Linked DNA regions of Callithrix jacchus. The protein of the gene in region 1 purifies or fractionates together with the protein of each later gene. This does not show direct contact. Links are inferred from orthologs where the notes say so. Each region holds a gene or a part of one and is shown on either strand. Other genes may lie near its edges.

What was found. Proteins that work in one complex are often made in the same cells at the same time.
Region 2: the proteins of SMARCB1 (region 1) and TOP2B fractionate together in Homo sapiens (co-fractionation; 3 studies listed by BioGRID, with this or other methods). This does not show direct contact. The link is inferred for Callithrix jacchus from reciprocal best matches to the Homo sapiens genes SMARCB1 and TOP2B.
Region 3: the proteins of SMARCB1 (region 1) and HDAC1 purify together in Homo sapiens (affinity purification with mass spectrometry; 3 studies listed by BioGRID, with this or other methods). This does not show direct contact. The link is inferred for Callithrix jacchus from reciprocal best matches to the Homo sapiens genes SMARCB1 and HDAC1.
Region 4: the proteins of SMARCB1 (region 1) and BICRA purify together in Homo sapiens (affinity purification with mass spectrometry; 3 studies listed by BioGRID, with this or other methods). This does not show direct contact. The link is inferred for Callithrix jacchus from reciprocal best matches to the Homo sapiens genes SMARCB1 and BICRA.
Region 5: the proteins of SMARCB1 (region 1) and MACROH2A1 purify together in Homo sapiens (affinity purification with mass spectrometry; 3 studies listed by BioGRID and IntAct, with this or other methods). This does not show direct contact. The link is inferred for Callithrix jacchus from reciprocal best matches to the Homo sapiens genes SMARCB1 and MACROH2A1.

What each region holds. Positions count from the first base shown.
Region 1 is NC_133502.1:192,698,732-192,703,031, forward strand, and holds the start of SMARCB1 (SWI/SNF-related matrix-associated actin-dependent regulator of chromatin subfamily B member 1), read right to left. Parts: upstream 2,801-4,300; 5' UTR 2,595-2,800; coding exon 2,502-2,594; exon of another isoform or gene 2,412-2,501; intron 932-2,411; exon of another isoform or gene 739-931; intron 1-738.
Region 2 is NC_133518.1:64,023,762-64,027,261, forward strand, and holds part of TOP2B (DNA topoisomerase 2-beta), read right to left. Parts: intron 2,480-3,500; coding exon 2,306-2,479; intron 1,203-2,305; coding exon 1,101-1,202; intron 990-1,100; coding exon 852-989; intron 1-851. UniProt on the Homo sapiens protein: Key decatenating enzyme that alters DNA topology by binding to two double-stranded DNA molecules, generating a double-stranded break in one of the strands, passing the intact strand through the broken strand, and religating the broken strand.
Region 3 is NC_133508.1:68,946,398-68,949,449, forward strand, and holds the end of HDAC1 (histone deacetylase 1), read left to right. Parts: intron 1-413; coding exon 414-522; intron 523-613; coding exon 614-744; intron 745-1,027; coding exon 1,028-1,180; intron 1,181-1,639; coding exon 1,640-1,688; intron 1,689-1,954; coding exon 1,955-1,982; 3' UTR 1,983-2,552; downstream 2,553-3,052. UniProt on the Homo sapiens protein: Histone deacetylase that catalyzes the deacetylation of lysine residues on the N-terminal part of the core histones (H2A, H2B, H3 and H4).
Region 4 is NC_133523.1:41,628,586-41,632,085, reverse strand, and holds part of BICRA (BRD4-interacting chromatin-remodeling complex-associated protein), read right to left. Parts: coding exon 3,189-3,500; intron 3,021-3,188; coding exon 2,840-3,020; intron 2,582-2,839; coding exon 2,472-2,581; intron 1,590-2,471; coding exon 1,450-1,589; intron 1-1,449. UniProt on the Homo sapiens protein: Component of SWI/SNF chromatin remodeling subcomplex GBAF that carries out key enzymatic activities, changing chromatin structure by altering DNA-histone contacts within a nucleosome in an ATP-dependent manner.
Region 5 is NC_133503.1:33,798,629-33,802,128, reverse strand, and holds part of MACROH2A1 (core histone macro-H2A.1), read left to right. Parts: intron 1-1,595; coding exon 1,596-1,702; intron 1,703-2,109; coding exon 2,110-2,307; intron 2,308-3,500. UniProt on the Homo sapiens protein: Variant histone H2A which replaces conventional H2A in a subset of nucleosomes where it represses transcription. Nucleosomes wrap and compact DNA into chromatin, limiting DNA accessibility to the cellular machineries which require DNA as a template.

The DNA.
Region 1 (4,300 bases):
TACTGATTTCAATAGAGCTCTGACCTTGAACCCTTGCCTAAACTCCAAAGGTCTGATGATTAAGTCAGGCCCAAGAGAACAAACTGCCTCTCCATCTGAGTCTCTCATAGGCTGGGCCTCAGGAAGACTATTCTTACTGGGAAGCCCAGGAGTGAAGGGGGCTGAAAAACAAGACTGTAATTAGCTTTCCAGAAACTAAAATGTGCTTTGGGGAAGATCCTGGAAACCATTTAGTCTAAGCATCACATTTTACACATGAGAAACGTGACACGAAGGCAGAGCAGGGCTGGAACCAGGCCTCCCAAGGTTCTTCCCACTTGGCCACTTACAGCTTCTCAATTTGCTCCAATTAATAAATGAAAGCTTTCTTTTAAAGTGTCACCCACTCTGAGCCAAACTAACTACTTTTATACCCATTAGATCAGGTAAACAACTCGCCTAGTATCACATGATGAAACTCAACACCTTTTGCATCCTGCAGTTAGGCAGGTGTCTACTGGCCAATGAGGACAATGCTGAACTGCGGCACAAGGACAGGCAATGGCTCCATCTCCCCAGCACTGCCATCTTCGAACAGTTGCAATTCAAGTGACAACGTGAAAATTTTATTGCATCCTTCACTTTTTGTTTTATAAAAATTGATGGAGGCCAGCTACAGTGGCTCACACCTATAATCCCAGCACTTTGGGAGGCTGAGGTGGGCAGATCGCTTGAACGTCTGAATTTTTTAAGACCAACCTGGGCAATATGGTGAAACCCGATCTTTACTAAAAATGTAAAAATTAGCCAGGCGTGATGGTGTGTGCCGTAGTCCCAGATGCTTGAGAGACTGAGGTGGGAGGATGGCTTGAGCCCGGGAGGTGGAGGTTGCAGAGAGCTGAGATTGCACCACTCCACTCCAGCCTGAGTGACAGAGTCAGACGTTGTTCCCCTCAAAAAAAAAAAAAAAAAAAAAGGTGGAGAAATGCTAACACTAAAGTTCTGATGCTATTGACCTTACTCTCACCCATGGGACTCAGCGTGACCATCTTGAGGCTTCATTCCTTCATGCTATGCTCAATTGTGAAGGCAAAAACCCACAAGTTTAAAAAGTATGAATGGGCTGAGTGTGAGCGTGGTGGCTCACACCTGAAATTCTGGCACTTTAAGAGGCTGAGGTACAAGGATCACTTGAGCCCAGGAGTTCAAGACCAGCCTGGGCAACACAGCAAAACCCCATCTCTACAAAAAAAACACAAAAATTAGCCGGGCATGGTGATGTACACCTGTAGTCCCAACTACTTGGGAGGCTGAGGCAGGAGGATCACTTGACCCCAGGAAGTCAAGGCTGCAGTGAGCTGAGATGCACCACTGTACCAAAGCCTGGGCAACAGAGTGAGACCTTTTTTCTAAAATAAAGTAAGATAAAAACTATTAATAAGGCCAGGCATAGTGGCTCACTCACGCCTGTAATCCCAGAACTTGGGGAGGCCGGGGCGGGTGGATCATGAGGTCAGGAGTTCCAGACCAGCCTGGCCAACGTGATGAAACCCTGTCTCTACTAAAAACACAAAAACTAGGCGGGCGTGGTTGCAGACGCTTGTAATCCCAGCTACTCAGGAGGCTGAGGCAGGGAACTGCTTGAACCTGGGAAGCGGAGGTTGCAGTGAACCAAGATCGTACCACTGCACTCCATCCTGGTGACAGAGCGAGACTCTGTCTCAAAAATAAATAAACAAATGACAAAAAACAAGAACCTAATATATTTGGCATAAACACCCGTTTAATTGCCAATTGAAGGTTTTTCCAACGTCAGTCAATCAGTTGATGCAACAAAATACTGCCACTCTACTTAAGGATTAAAGATCCTTGTTCTCCTGCCCCTGTAATAATTCAGAATCAGTTCACAGATATGGAAAATGTCAATTGCTTCAGAATTGCTCAAAGAATCAGCTTAGGCATGGGGCCTTTACCCACCCAAAAGCAAACATCTCCCTCCGATCTGTTTCTTCACTAGTAAACAAAGGTCAAAACACCTCTACTGCCCACCTAAGAAGCAACAAACAAACACAATAGGGATGAGCCCTCACTAAGCCCGGGAGTTTTCAGCCTGCCATTTCAGGATCCCACAAGTGGCAATGTGGGGAGGGGTGCACGTGAAATTTACGACATCTAAAAAGAGTCAAAGGCAGCAGTGCGGTCCCCCAAGCGTCTCAGGGGCTAACCCAACATTCCACTTCTTTGAGTCTGGCTGGAAACCAACCCAGCAGGGAACTAATGGAACCACTCGCGGCGCCATAAAGCCCTGGCAGCATTGCAGGCGGCAGACCTCGGCGAAATGGGTAAAGAAACCCAGATAGATGAGGGGGCGGGGCCACGCCCACAGGTCACGCCCCACAGTCCGGAGCGCGCGCGCGCCCGCCCGCCCCGATGAATGGAGACGCCCGCTTTCGGCGCACGGGCCCGCCCTGGGGCTCCCGCGGGGCCGAGCCCGGGGAGGGCGAGGACGCGCCGCAGGCTACCTCGGAGCCGATCATGTAGAACTCGCCGTCATCCTCCAGCTGGAACTTCACGGGCTTCTGCCCGAAGGTCTTGCTCAGCGCCATCATCATCATTGCGGCGGCAGAGACGGGCGGCCGGAGCCGGTCTGCGAGGGATCCGGAGGGCTGGGGTGGGGCCTGGGCGTGGCCGGCGAGTGCCAGGCCAAGGGAAGCCGAAGCCAGAAGGCGAAATGCGCACCGGGCCGGGTACCGGCGCCTCAGCCGGGTTCCTCAGCCGCCGCCACCGCAGACGACGACCAGGCCGCCCTCAGTGCGCAGGCGCTGGCGTTGACGCTGACGCGCGCGCCGCCGCTGAAACAAAAGGCCGGGAGCGCCTCCGCGGACTTCTTAAAGGAGCCACGGCTAATTTCTCTTCCTCCCAGGCTGCCTCCCAAGTCGTGGTGTAGAAAGGAAAGCTTCTCACGGACAAAAATAGCCACTGCTTTCCCAGTCTTACAGCCAGGACTGGAACGGAGCCCAGGGGAAAAGAAACGAAGTGAGGTTTGAAGGAGAAGGACCTAATATCTGGAAGCCTGAGTGGTCTGGGCACGTTTGGACACCAGGCTCGTGCCTTAGCTTCCCAACCCCTGAAACAGGCAATGCAACTGAGCAGATAGGCGGGCCCCTAGGAACAGATATCCCAGTTCCCGGCCTACGGCTGTTTCTGCAGCTGTGGAGGTGGGCAAAATGACAACAGCGGATAAGGACTGGCAATATTCAAAGGCCCAGATGGTATTTGGTTTGGCTGGTGCATCAGATGAGCATGGGAGGGAAGGGACACTTTCCACCTCCATTCCTTTGCTTACCTGAGCCCTGCAGTGGGACGGGAAACCAGGCTCAGTCTCTTGGCTCCTACCGCCCGAAGCTAGTGAAACTAAAAGTCTCAAAGCAATCATGTATCTGATTGAATAATCCAGTGAGTAAAAAAGTGGCCCACCACTGATGATTTCATACGGTTCAGTCTACTGAAATTGCAGCTGTGGTTGGGCACAGTGGCTCATGCCTGTAATCCCAACTCTTTAGGAGGCCAAGGCAGAGAGCATCACTTAAAGCCAGGAGTTTAAAACCAGACTGGACAATACACCAAGTCCCTGTCTCTACAAAAATTTTAAAATAAATAAGCTGGGTGTGGCGTGGTGCTGTGCGCCTGTAGCCCCAGCTGCTTCGGAAGTGGAGAGGGGAAGATCCCTTGAGCCTAGGAGTTCAAGGTTATAGTGAGCTGATTGTACCACTGCACTCCAGCCTGGGCAACAAAGGAAGAACCTGTCTCTCTTTAAAAAAAAAAAAATGCAACTATGATAAATGCTGTTATGAAGACACATGTGGAGTTGGAAGGTAGGAGGCAACCCTCCCAAGTAGCTGAGAAGAGATGGGGTTTCACCATGTTGACTAGGCTGGTCTCAAACTCCTGACCTCAGGTGATCCACCCACCTCGGCCTCCCAAAGAGCTGGGATTTCAGGCACGAGCCACTGCACCTGGCCACATCCTTTTTTTCAACACTTTTTTTCCCACCCGAGATTAGTTGAGTTTATGGATGCAGAAACCACAGCTATGTATGGAAGGCTGACTGTGTTTCACGAGGGGCTGGGCTGTGGCGGGAGCAGATAAAATGACCACCATTCTGGAGGATGAACGGAGGGGACAAGTAGGAAAGTGCGGAGCCAGTTGACAAGCCACTGTAGCAAAATGTGATGTAATGGAGCAAAAGGAGCCCTGAGCACTGTGCCCAGCCCCAAGGGCCAGAGGGTTGGGTTGGGGGACTGTGACCCTGGCTCCCAGG
Region 2 (3,500 bases), on another chromosome or scaffold:
TGAAAGAGGTGAACTATGTTGCCAAATTTAAACTTACTGCACCTAAAATGAAAAAGTTTAAAATTTAAAATCAAATCACTTCATCAAAGAAGCAATTGTCATGAGGACACAAATTTGGGAAAGTATTAATACGGGGTAATTTCATTAAGTATAATTTCATTATACTCAGCATTCATTAAGATTAGATCCAAAAGTACTATTTCTACAGGCCTTAAGTTAGAACTAAAAAACAACTTTTGTTTTTGTTTCTGATAATCTACATTTTGGAATTTGACAAATACGTTAGTTCTAGGGCAGTTATACAACATTCCCCCACCGAAATTCCAAAAAGGAAAGGCTGTGATTGATTAATTTTCATTATTTATTTGTGCTCTCACCTTATTTTAGAGAAGTTAAGGTAACCTAAAAAATTATATGGAAAGCAGAATGAAACTTTAAAACATGTAGAAAATAGTACATTTTGTTATGCATATGTTACCACAATTTTTTAAAATGTGTAAAGTTAAGAATCAGTAGATGAAGGTGAAATCGGAGTAGAAAAGATGAAAGTATCACATAAGGACCTGTACATTTGTTAGGAGAAATCTGACCTTTACAATGGTCAATGCAAAGCTAAAAATGCAATTAGTTACATAATCCCCCACTTTAGTTCTTTGCAAAACTATTGTTTTAGGAAACATTAAAGTTTATCCTTTAAAGTTATCAAATTAAGCATATTAGTTTACAGTGCAAGCATGCTTATACTCACAGTTAATATGATGAAAGAAACTAATCATAAATAAGTTAAATCAAGAAAACTACTTAATCAACTCTTAATAACAGCAATGCAAAATAATACAAGTTTTACTCACTGCTTTAAAAAATTTTTCTGAAAGCTGGCATTTAGACCCAAAACTTTTGGGCTGCAGAGTCATGTTTTCCTTAGTCTGAGAATCAAAAGTTGGATTTTCAATAAGGCAATTAATAAAAACCCATATATGGTTTTTTACCTGTTGAAAACATACCAAAATAGTCAACATCAGAGCTAATATTATTTAGTAATTCAGCACATATGTAATGCATATATATGCTTCATATGTAATGTACAATGCATCCCTTACTTGAAATGGTTTCACTGATACACCAGCTTTGTTCTTTTTCTTAACTACTTCAATCAGTTTACCAACAACTTGATCTACCACATAATCCACGTGCCGTCCACCCTAAAGAAAAAAAATATGCAACATGAAATCTTGTATTAGTGAAAAAACAAAAATATGAAATCCTAAATCTTGTATTGTTAAAGTAGCAAAATACTTTATCTGTATTACAAACCCTATTTTCTAAAACAGTAATAGGAGTCTCAGAATCAGAGTTGGGATTTTAAAATATAAGATATTTTGGCTATAGAGCCAATAAACCAACTGATACGTTTGTTTGTTTCCTCACTTCAATTCTAACACTAATTCTGGGGTGCTTTCAACACCAACAGCCTTAAACTTCACCCAGTTCAGGACTCTGATTCTTCAGACAACAAATCGATGTTCAACGATGTGATTCAATTTTGATAATAACTACCTGGAGTTAGCACAAGTACTTATGGTTGGTTAAGGGCTCCGTCCCACAGGACTGCCCACACTTCAGATGTCAGTCACAAGTCCTAGGCTTCCTGTACTTCTAACCAACCCGCTATTAATTGGGGGATTCCCATGAACCACTCCTCAGGATTGAAAATTTGCTAGAACAGATCATAGAACTCAGGAACACAGTTTACTTCATTGACCAGTTTTTTTATATAGGATCCATCAATAACAACCAAATGGAAGAGATGTGTAAGGCACGCTATGGGGGGAAGGGTACACAAAACTCTCTACCTTACCCAGACATGCCATCCTCTTAGACCTCAATGTATTCAGCAACCTAGGAGTTCTGTGAACTCCATTGTTCAGGGGTTTTTAATGGAGCTTTATCACATAGCCATGATTGATTTTTAACTCAATCACCAGCCCCCTCTCCACTCCCCAGAGGTTGGGGAAGATGGGGCTGAAAGTTACAGAATAAGGAATTTGTTATCATTCTAAATTAATAAAATATAAATATGTTCAACTATAAACACTAATCATATAAACTTATTTCTCAATGAATGTTTAAGTAAATTTTAATACAGCAATTTCATAGAAAATAGGTTTTCATTTTCCTAAGTCAATTCTTATTTAACAAAAACAGATTTGGGTTTTTTGGAGGTTGTTGATACTGTTATTTATTTTGTAGATTTTAATGAAGCCCTATTCTACCACTGACTTGGAAAAAGAACTTGCATACTTACTTTTGTAGTTGCAATACTATTTACAAAGCTGATTTGCTGGAATCCTTTTTCACTCAATGTGAGACAAACATCCCATCTTTCATTTGCAAGTTCATGAATAACTTTCAGGGCCACCCCAGTTTCATCCAATTTGTCTTTTACATAAAGATCTACATAACTGCGAAATCCATTTACCTATTAATTAAAAAAAATTAAGAATCTTACGTTGGCAGCTCAAACAGGTGAATGACATTAAATATGTATATTCCATTTCCTCTCATTTACAATAGTTCTAAATGTGCAGATCCAAACCTTAGTGGCATTTCCCAGATCTATTCCTTAACCCTTGACCTTTAAAAAAGAAATTTCTATGTGTACTTGAAAAAAAAGAGGATGTGAAGGGACAGGTAAATTGGTATAAAATATTTCAAAAATTTACATTTTTAAAATAAGGTAGACTTCCAGTTTCAGTGCAGGCATGTAATGAACTAGGGCGGAAAAAATCCTCCATCCTTACAAGAAACAGGTAATCAGACAACAAATTAATGGTTTTTTCATGAACCCATTGAAGAATTGAGATCACAGGATAGCCCACCATCCTAAGTCTGGAGTGACGTAAGTGTCTATCGGAGGCCACAAAACACCTAAGCTTTTGCTTACCTGGGGCAGATATTTAATAAGCTAGTAGGAACATTAAACTAGAAAATTTGACTAACTGCTGCTAGAAGTGCATATGCTAGTGTGAGTGGTGCATACAGCTTCTAGGTGCTGTAGCCATAAGGAGTTCATTCATACTCTTGCAGGTGTTCCTCCAGAAAACCCACCAAATTCTCACAGGGTAGATTAGTGACAATCTAGGGAAGGTTTCCCCTCTGCACGTCTATAGTACTGACTGGGAAATGGAAACAGAATTTGCTAGGAAATCCACCCAGTTCTATCTCCCCTACCAAAAAAAAAAAAAAAAAAAAAAAAAAAAAAAAAAAAAAGCTTATTCTGCAGGGTAGGGGACCTCAAGGAAATAGGCTGAGAACACTGTTGGAATCCTGCTGCAGCTGGGGAAAGAGAATAGAGAGCAGAAAAAAAAGTTTTTAACCCATGGAAGAGGGGCATAAACTTGTAAAAGTCAAACCCGTGAGATACAGGTTCACCATGCACTCCAAAGAGTGGGATGTAAGCAGACATTAGAGATCATCTCCCCCACAATCTACCATCATGC
Region 3 (3,052 bases), on another chromosome or scaffold:
AGTGCTGGGATTACAGGCGAGAGCCACTGTGCCCAACCTTCCTTGAGTCCTTTTTAGCTCTGTCCCTTTCCCTCCTGCTTTTGCAGTTCTCAGTGGTCATTTACAGCTTTGGAATTTCTACTCTGTAGAGTAACTGGAGTAGTGAGTGAAGGGAGCATTCAGAATGAGCACGGCCTCAAGCGTCCTAACCAGGGGCTTGGGCCTTCTAGCAACATATATACCACTGTTAAGGACATAGGAGAGTGGTATTCAAGAGATGGAAATCCCATAGGTACCCATGTCTCACCATGTCTTGGAGGCATTCTTCTCTGTTTGACAGATGTATAAACGGGCCCAGAGAAACCTACAAATGATTTACTTGGGGTGCCGTGGCGGCAAGGTCTCTTGACTATTTTCTCCCCTGCCCCAATCAGAGCTTCCATACAACGACTACTTCGAATACTTTGGACCAGATTTCAAGCTCCACATCAGTCCTTCCAATATGACTAACCAGAACACGAATGAGTACTTGGAGAAGATCAAGTGAGTATATCCTCCGGCCACTCCTAGGTTGAACATTCCTGACTCTGGTTTGTCCCTGACCAGAGCCCTACTACTCTCCCATTGGCCACAGACAGCGACTGTTTGAGAACCTGAGGATGCTGCCGCATGCACCCGGGGTCCAAATGCAGGCGATTCCTGAGGACGCCATCCCTGAGGAGAGTGGTGATGAAGACGAAGAAGACCCTGACAAGCGCATCTCGAGTAAGACCTAGACCCAGAGCCCTGTGCCTTCCACTCAGTAGGCAGCTCCGACTTCCACCACCATTCCTGGCTGCACATTTCCTCCAAGCTCTCCACCTGTTCAGAAATTTGTTTCTAGTTCCAGTGCCTGTAGGCACAAGTTAGGAAGCTTGAGTTCCTCCCTATTCTCTGGTTCCCTCTCCTTTGGTGTCTCTTGGAGGACACGCAGGGAAGCACTGGGCACAGATGCTAAGCTAGATCGGCACCCACCTGCCTCTCACCCATGCTTCCCACTCCTGCCCAGTCTGCTCCTCTGACAAACGAATTGCCTGTGAGGAAGAGTTCTCAGACTCTGAAGAGGAGGGAGAGGGGGGCCGCAAGAACTCTTCCAACTTCAAAAAAGCCAAGAGAGTCAAAACAGAGGATGAAAAAGAGAAAGAGCCAGAGGAGAAGAAAGGTGGGTTTGGGTTCAGCCGGGACTTGGGTCTTGAGACTGGGAGGATGAATCTATGTAGGGCAGTGGGAGGAGGGAGTGACTCAGGCCCTGCCAGCTCCTGTGGGGCTCTTCCTCAGCTCCTTGAGCCTTTCAGTGGCTCCCAGAAGTGGCAGGGCCCACAAAACAATGAACTTCTACTGGCTGAGTTCAGCTCTCACATACCACCCAACCCCTTTTCCCAGCACTGCACCCCAGTTTCCCAGGGGGCTGCCTCCACCCACTAGGTTCTGGCTGTAGCAGGCTGGGAAACCGGTCCAACCTGTTCTCAACAGGGCTCACTGGGAGGACCAGGGATGGGCTTTTCTCTTTCGTTTGTCCAGTGAGCTGGAGTGTTGGGGAAGGGGTCTTAGGGTAAATGAAGACCTCATGGGGCTTTCCAGAGGGGCTACCCTTGGCCATCCCTGTACTCTTATGTTCTAGAAGTCACAGAAGAGGAGAAAACCAAGGAGGAGAAGCCAGAAGCCAAAGGGTGAGGAAGGAGTTGCCTGTGGCCATCTCCCTGGCATTGGAGCACCAGCCCCTTTGTCCCACCACTCTGAGGAAAGGCACAGCGACAGCTGGTCCAGCTTACAAAGGCCTCATTGAGGGAGCAGTCTGTCTCTGCAGTTCTAGGCAGAGCTAGGAAGCTCCAGCCCCCAGTAGTCACCTGGGATCCTGTGGAAGTCACTGTCTCTGCACTTTTGCCCCGAAGCTCTGGGGTGGGTCATCTCATGCCAGTCTCTGCTTTCTCCACAGGGTCAAAGAGGAGGTCAAGTTGGCCTAAGCAGACCTCTCCAGCTTTGGCTTCCTGCCGAGTCCCTCACCTTTCTCTTCTAACCCCTCAGATTTTATATTTTCTATTTCTCTGTGTATTTATATAAAAATTTATTAAATATAAATATCCCCAGGGACAGAAACCAAGGCTCTGAGCCCAGGGCAGCTGTACTGGGTGAGCTTTCAGGAGTTGCCTTGCCACCCATCTTAACTTTGAACCACAAAGGGTGCCAGGTCTAAGTGAAAGGGATACTTTTATGCAACCATAAGACAAAATCCTGAAATGCCAAGTGCCTGCTTAGTAGCTTTGGAAAGGCGCCCTTATTGAACATTATAGAAGGGGTGGCTGGGTTTTCAAGGATCTCCTGTTCTCTTCAGGCTCCTAAGGTAACATCAGCCATTTTTAGATTGGTTCTGTTTTCATACCTTCCCACTGGCCTCAAGTGAGCCAAGAAAGTCGCACTGCCTGCCCTCTGTCTTCCCCTAATTCTGCAGGTGGAGGAGGTAGTCTAGTTTTCCTTTTTGAGATACTATTTTCATTTTTGTGAGCCTCTTTGTAATAAAATGGTACATTTCTATATCCTCCTGAGCTTGTTTCTTATGTGTCTCTGAGTTGGTTTCAACTCTACTTCCCTGCCCTTCTGGTGTCCATGAGTATTGGGGCAACCCCCTGAACAAGAAAACCCCATAAAACTTACCTGCCTGCCTTAACTCCTCCCTCGAGGCTTGAGGTGAACTAGTTTCCACCAATCTTCTCACCCTACCCACAGAAGACCACTCATTAAAGCACCACTAAAGGGACGACATTTATTCCTTTTCCAAATGTTACAGTAAAACCAGGTGGAAGAGAATGGTTTTAGCAGTTAGAAAAAAAAAAAAAAGTACAAATCTGGGGTTTGGCCATTAAAAGTTATTTACAACAATGGGAGAAAAAAAAGACAACAAGAAGTTGTTTCACATTACAGACCTCCCCCCACCCCAAAGCCTAATACTTGCTTACCAAGTCAAAAAAGAGACACAGTTGATTCACAAGCTGGAGGTTTGAACTTGAGTAAGACATTTATAAAAACCTAGACGGGG
Region 4 (3,500 bases), on another chromosome or scaffold:
CAGCCTCTCTGCATGCGGGGGCAGGGACTCTGGCACTCACTCCTGTGTTCCCAGCATGGAGCCCCGGGCCTGGGCGCTGAGTGGGGACTTCCCTCACACTTCTAGGCCAGGCGCAGGGGTTCACACCTGCAATCCCAGCGCTCTGGGAGGCCGAAGCAGAAGGATCATCTGAGCCCAGGAGTTCAAGACTAGCCTGGGCCACACAGCAAGACCCTGTCTCTACAAAAATTATAAAAAATTAGCCGAGTGCGGTGGCACGTGCCTGTAGTCCCAGCTACTCAGGAGACTGAGGTGGGAGGATCATTTGAGCCTAGGAGTTTCACACCAACCTAGGCCGGGCGCGGTGGCTCACGCCTGTACTCCCAGCACTTTGGGAGGCCGAGGTGGGCAGATCACTTGAGGTCAGAAGTTCAAGACCAGCCAGGCCAACATGGTGAAACTGCATCTCTACTAAAAATACAAAAATTAGCTGGGTGTGGTGGTGCACACCTGTAGTCCCAGCTACTAGGGAGGCTGCGGCAAGAGAATCATTGAACCCGGGAGGCAGAGGTTGCAGTGAGTGGAGATTGCACCACTGCACTCCAGCCTGGGTGACAGAATGAGACTTCATCTTCAAAAACAAAACAAGTACAAATATTTGGGCAATATAGTAAGACCTGGTCTCCACGAAAAAATATGCATTTTTAAAAAACACTCATGGTGGGTTGGGCGTCGTGGCTCACGCCTATAATCCCAACACTTTGGGAGGCCGAGGTAGGTGGATCACTTGAGGCCAGGAGTTCGAGATCAGCTTGGCCAACATGGTGAAACCCTGTCACTACTAAAAATAGGGCGAGGTGGCATGCGCTTGTGGTCACAGCTACTTGGGAGGCTGCGGCAAGAGAATCGGTTGAACCCAGGAGGCAGAGGTTGCAGTGAGCCAACACTGTGCTATTGCACTCCAGCCTGGGTGACAGAGTAAGACTCTGGCTCAAAAAAAAAAATACCCAAAACAAAAATACTGGTGGTGGAAGGAGGGCAGGAGAGAGAGCAGGCCAGCATCCAGCATGTACCCATCCACCCACCCAGACTCCCATCCCTCCATCCCAAACACGCACCCATCACATCCTCCAGCAGCCAAGACTGGCCACTCCCTCCCTCCACCCAGCACTTCACCCACCCAGTGGGGCTCAGCACCAACCCTGCCCAGCCGTGTGGGAGACAAGGAGGGCACACCCACAACCCGGGCAGACCACGCTGCCGCCCATCTGAGCCCCAGCCTCTCAGAGCCACAGCCCACCCTCCACCACCTTCTTCTGGTCTGAGGGAACCACACTGCTATCAAGAGGTGGAGCTGGGCTTGGCACTTGGGACCGCCGCCCCCACCCCCGCTTCTGGAGGGTGGCCCCATGCTCCCCCAGGTCTCAGGAAGGTACAGGGCAGGAGTGAGAGGGTGGGGTGTGGGCTCACCAGGCTTCCTTGCTGGGCTGAAGCATGGGGGGCTTCTTCAGGCCACTCAGCTTGCTCTCGTACTGGGGAAGAAGGGTGAGTGAGAGGCCTTTGCCTCGGAGAAGCCTTCCCTCTGCGCCCTGACCCGCTTCCCCTCCAGCCTGGATGACAATGAGGCAGGGGACCGGTGTCACACCTGGGTGGGTGCCTGGCCCAACGGCGGGATCCCCTGCCCATCATGATGAACCCCAGGGGAGACCTATACTGGGCTGGGGGGCTGACAAAGAGGGTGACAGGCAGGCTGGAGTCCTGGGCATCCTTGCCTGGGTCTTCTCTGTCCCCTCACCCAGGGCTGCGTCTGTGTGACCTCCCTCCTCTGCCAGATGCCTGCTTTCCGGTCACCATCCAGACCGGCACCCCTGACTCACACGGTCTCTCTCCCCTTCCTGGCTCCCCTCTCGTCCTCGTTGTCTGCCCTCTGTTCCGTAGTCTCCGTCTCTGTGCCTCTCCTGGCCTCTTGCACCCTAGTCCTCCCACCTGCTCCTCTCCTGGCTTCTTGCTCCCCGTCCTCCCACCTGCTCCTCTCCTTGTCATCCGTCTCCCTCCGTCTCACACCTCACAGACGGCCTCGGCCTCAGCTGTTCTTGCCCTCTCGCCCTTCCATTCTGGGTCCCTGATCCGCTCCGTCTCCGGTTTGTCTCATGTCATCCCCGCCTCTCCTGTCCTGAGCTCACCATCTTGTCGTCTCAGCCCTGTCCTCCCTGTCCTGTGTCCATGTCCCCTGCTCTTGCCCCAGAGACCGTCCCTCACCCCTTCGCCAGCTATCTTGGCGCCGTCTCTGTCCTACCATCTCTGTGTTTCTGCATCATCTCTGGCCGCCCACCTGGGTGTCATCTGCCTTTCCTGGCCCTGCACAACTGTTGGTCGTGTCCCAGCCTCCCCCTGCCCCTATCTTCCTAGCCCCCCCGCCCTTGCTGGCCCCGGTTCCTGGTTCCCTGAAGACTCTTGGTCCTGTCCTGACCCCCACTCCGAGGGCCCCTTACCTGCAGCCCGGAGGGCTTCCCTGGCCCGGATGAAGCAGCCTTGGCCACATTCAGGCTCGGGAGGTTGCTGGCAAAAGCCTTGTTCTCGGCCGGAAGCAGAGGGGGGAGGCCTGGGGGTGGGGGATGGGGGGAGACAGGGCCTGCGGTCACAGCATAAAGGCCCCCCCTCAAATGGGAGCCCTACCCTGTACCCACCACTTCCTCCTGGCCCTCCAGCCCGCCCTGCCAACTCCACCCTCGTTGCGTCCTTGAGTTCTGGTGCCCTGTGCTGAGTCCCACAGCCATGCCCCATCCCACCCTCCTGCTCTCAGCCCTCCACCCATCTTCAGGACCCATCTCTCTGGGCAGGGAGGCGACCTCTCCCCTACCTGTGGTGGCCATGGGTGCCGGGGCGGGGGCGTGGCTGGGGGTGGTGGGGGTCCCGGATGGGGCCTGCCCGCTGACCAGCACAGAAGCAGTGGGGCTGGTGAGAGGCCCCAGGCTGGTGGAGGTCTGTGGGGTGGCAGGAGCCCCCGCAGCCTTGTTCTGGAGAATGATTCCGGACGGCACCTGAGGAGGGACAGGTGGATGAGGGGTGGGGGACATGGGCTAGGAGTGGGGTGTCCAGAGGCAGCAGGGCTGGGGAGGAACACAGAGCCGTGAGGTGGGGGGACCCCCATCAGATTGAGGGGGTGGGATGGGGGGCTGGTGGGGTGGGCGGTCCCTGCCTCCCATTACCTGGTGAAATCTCTCGAGAAGAGCCTTCGGCTGGGGCAGCGCTGGGAAGGGGGTGGTCACCATCTGGAAGGTCCGAGGAGGTGGTGGGGGGGGCACTGCTGGCTCAGGGACCAGGTGGAGGGTTGGAGGGGGGGTGGGGGACTTGTGGGGCACCTGGCTGGGTGTGAACTGGAGCTGGAAGTCAGATGGCACAGGGGCTGGCAACCTGGTGGATGTCTCCGAGGAGGCGGCCACGGTGGAAGATGTGGAGGATGGAGGGAGGTGGGGGGCTGGAGGCAGCGGTCCCTCAGGCGGCTGGGATTGGGGGCGGAG
Region 5 (3,500 bases), on another chromosome or scaffold:
GTGATGGGCCCATCTTGCCCAAGTGAAAAAGGTGCCTGTGATGCCTGTGTGACCTTGGTCCCCAGGTGCTGTGAATGCAGAAGTGGAGAGTATAACATCCATTCTGGGCCTATCCGTATGCTTCACTAAGAAAACAAGGAGACTGTGATGAGGTTGACAGGTTACCAAGAGCACTGTAATGCCAAGGAGAAAACCAGGCCTTGCCAAAGGGCACTTCCTAATTCCCACCATCTTTGGTGCTGTGGAAAACCTGTCTTGTTTTGTGAGACTGTGCCCAGATGGCAGGTAAATCAACTCTAACTTATTACTAACTATAGGTTACACTCATAGCCCTTCTAGTTTTTCTTTTCTCTCATACTTATTATTTTGAAAAATTTCAAACATACAGAATGTCAAGAATACTCTTATTTCATCACCTTACATATTTATTTCCTTGTGTTAGAACTTTTAAAATCTATTGTTTTAGCAATTTTTAAATATGCATGATTGTTAACTGTAGGTACCATTCCGCACCTACATTAAAACTTCTCCTAACTGAAACTTTGTCTTTTGACTAACATTCACCCCGACCCTACCCCCAGTCCCTGATTCCACATAGTAATGAGCTCATGTTGTATTTGTCCTTCTGTGCCTGGCTTATTTCACTTAACATAATGTCCTCCAGGTTTATCTATGTTGTTGCAAATGACAGAATTTCCTTGAAAGAGGAACATTCTTATATACCTAGATTTAAGAGCTGTTAACATTTGCCATACTTGCTTTGTTCCTTAGAGCTTTTTCAGAATGGAGGGCAAGTTGTATGCATGTATACATAAACACCTCAGCATGTATCTCCTAAGAACAAGGATGCTCCCTACAGAATGGCAATGCCATTATCACACTTAAGAAAATTAATAATTCCCTAGTATCTGATGCCCAGTCCACATTCAGATCTCTTCAGTTGTCTACAAAATGATTTTCATAGCTTTTATTAAAAGAATCAGGATTTCATTAAGGAGTGACATTATTTTTGGCTGTTATGTCTTTTTAGCCTTTTTAAATCTACAGCACCCCCCTTCCACTTTTAAAAATGCATTTATGACATTGACTTTGTAAATAATCCAGTCACATCCTTCTAGTTTTGTATCCAGATGTATAGGCATTCAGCATTGATGTAATCAACAAAGACTTAACAGGCTTCCTCAAGAAGCCATCCTGTCTTCAAAACCCTATAAGCAGGTATGGTACACTCTCACCACACTGAAGACTTTGGGTTTGGCCTGGTGACATCCGCAGTGCTAATTTCAAGCACCTTTCTGGGAAATGGGAGTCGGATCTCAGCCCTCCCACTCACTCACTGAGTGATCTTCAGCTGGTCCCTTCTCCCTCAGCTTCAGTTCCTTCATCTCCCAAACAAGGGCATTGGACCTGGTGCCTCCTAGGTCTCACTCAGGTTTGCCATTCAGCACCTCTGTGACTCTGCCCACAGATTCTCACCTCAGCATAGCTGCTTCCTGAAGCAGCTGCCTGTGCCCATTCCTGGCACTGAATGCGGGAAGTCGGGGGGGACACATGGTCCTCTACCATGACCATACTCTCATCTCTGTTCCTCACAGCGGAGATTCTGGAGCTGGCTGGCAATGCAGCGAGAGACAACAAGAAGGGACGGGTCACGCCCCGGCACATCCTGCTGGCTGTGGCCAATGATGAAGAGCTGAATCAGGTATGGGACTCTCCCACCCATCCCCCACTGATGCTTGAGGAGGTGGTCATAGTGCCCAAGAAACATAGCTGAGTGTGGACTGCATTTTGGATTAATTAGCAGATTCCCTGCCTCCCATGGCAGTTTTTCCCCCAAGGCCTTATTGGGAGTGTTGGGGGAAGTAGGATAAAACAGGGTATTTGGCTCTCCCTGAAGGAGAGAGATTATCTGAATTCCATTCAAGTAAGGGACTCTGGGGACTGGATTCCTGAGCTATGAGCCTGAGTCCTGACAGCATCCTCATGGAAAATGCCATGGAGGAAGGAGCCGCACCAACCAAAGCAAGACTGTCCTGGGCAGGGCTGGCTTCTTGATGGTCAGAAGCAGGGTATCTGGCTCACTATCTGCCATTTTGGTTTTCCTGAAAGCTGCTAAAAGGAGTCACCATAGCCAGTGGGGGGGTGTTACCCAACATCCACCCCGAGTTGCTAGCGAAGAAGCGGGGATCCAAAGGAAAGTTGGAAGCCATCATCACACCACCCCCAGCCAAAAAGGCCAAGTCTCCATCCCAGAAGAAGCCTGTGTCTAAAAAAGCAGGAGGCAAGAAAGGGGCCCGGAAATCCAAGGTACGTGATTTGGCAGGGATGTATGAAGTGGGATAGGATGGGGTACAGATAAACAGGGTTACCAGGGCTCCCCTTCCTGCTGTGGGCTCATCGCACTCATGAGGGACTAAAGGAAGAAGATGTAGGAGCTGATTACACTTCAGAGGGGCCAGTAGCCAGGAGGCCCTTCCAGAGTCTGGACCCAGGTGGAGGACAGAATCCCTGCAGGCAAGGGGGATGAACAATGAGCTTTCAGGGATAGCTCCAAGCTGGAAGGACTCCCAAGCTGTCCCTTCCAGGAAGATGTACACACCTGTGGGAAGGGGGCTTCCCTGTGCTAAGGGACAGCCATTGTCTAGTCCTGTGGTCAGCTGCCTGCATGCTCGGCTGCTCAGTTGCAGAACTCTCATTGTGTTGCTGTGGCTGTGTATCTTCTGCCAGGATGCTCCAGACAGTTCGCTTTAGAACGCTTGCCTCTGACAAGGAGGAAAATGGATGTACTACTCAGGTGCTTCCTCCTGGACCTAACTTGGATTGGCCGGGTCCTAGGTGCTGGAAACCCTCTAATTAGCATCATCTATTGTCGTCTTGGGTGGAGAAGGCCAGCAGACTCCAGGTCATGATCCTCAGTGTGGAGGAGCACCCTCCGGAGGTCCAGGCCAGTGACTGCTGTGCTCACCTGTCTCAGCATGAGCCAGAGACTACAAGGCAACTGGGATGCATTTTCTTTGTTCCTTCCTTGCTGAGTCCTACCTGTCAGCTGTTGTCACAGACTCCAGAGCCAACAAACAATAGACAGTACAACCAAAGTTTGGTCTCTAAGAAAATGGAATCTTGAGGCTGCCCTGCTCTGAAGTACCCCTTAAGGAGTCCTCCTGGCCTCCAGCCAGATCAGGAGGAAATTACCCCTAGCAGAAGGTGACTTCCCTCAATTAGAAGTCCCTGGAAATGCCCTGTGAAATCTAATGATGCAGTGTCAGGAAGTTCTTCCTACATGAGACCAAAACCTCTCATCTGAGACAGTAAGAACACCTTCCCAGGACAGGCTCAAGGAGCTGTTGCCAGGTGAACAGAGCTCCTTCTGTCCTGTCAGCACGTCCTTTCCTTTGAGCCTGCCTGTGCCTCAGACTGGCCCTTCACTGCCCCTGCATGTAGGGGCATCTTCTGTGACCTCAGCCTTTTTGCATCCACACTGTTTGTGGAACTTTCTTCAG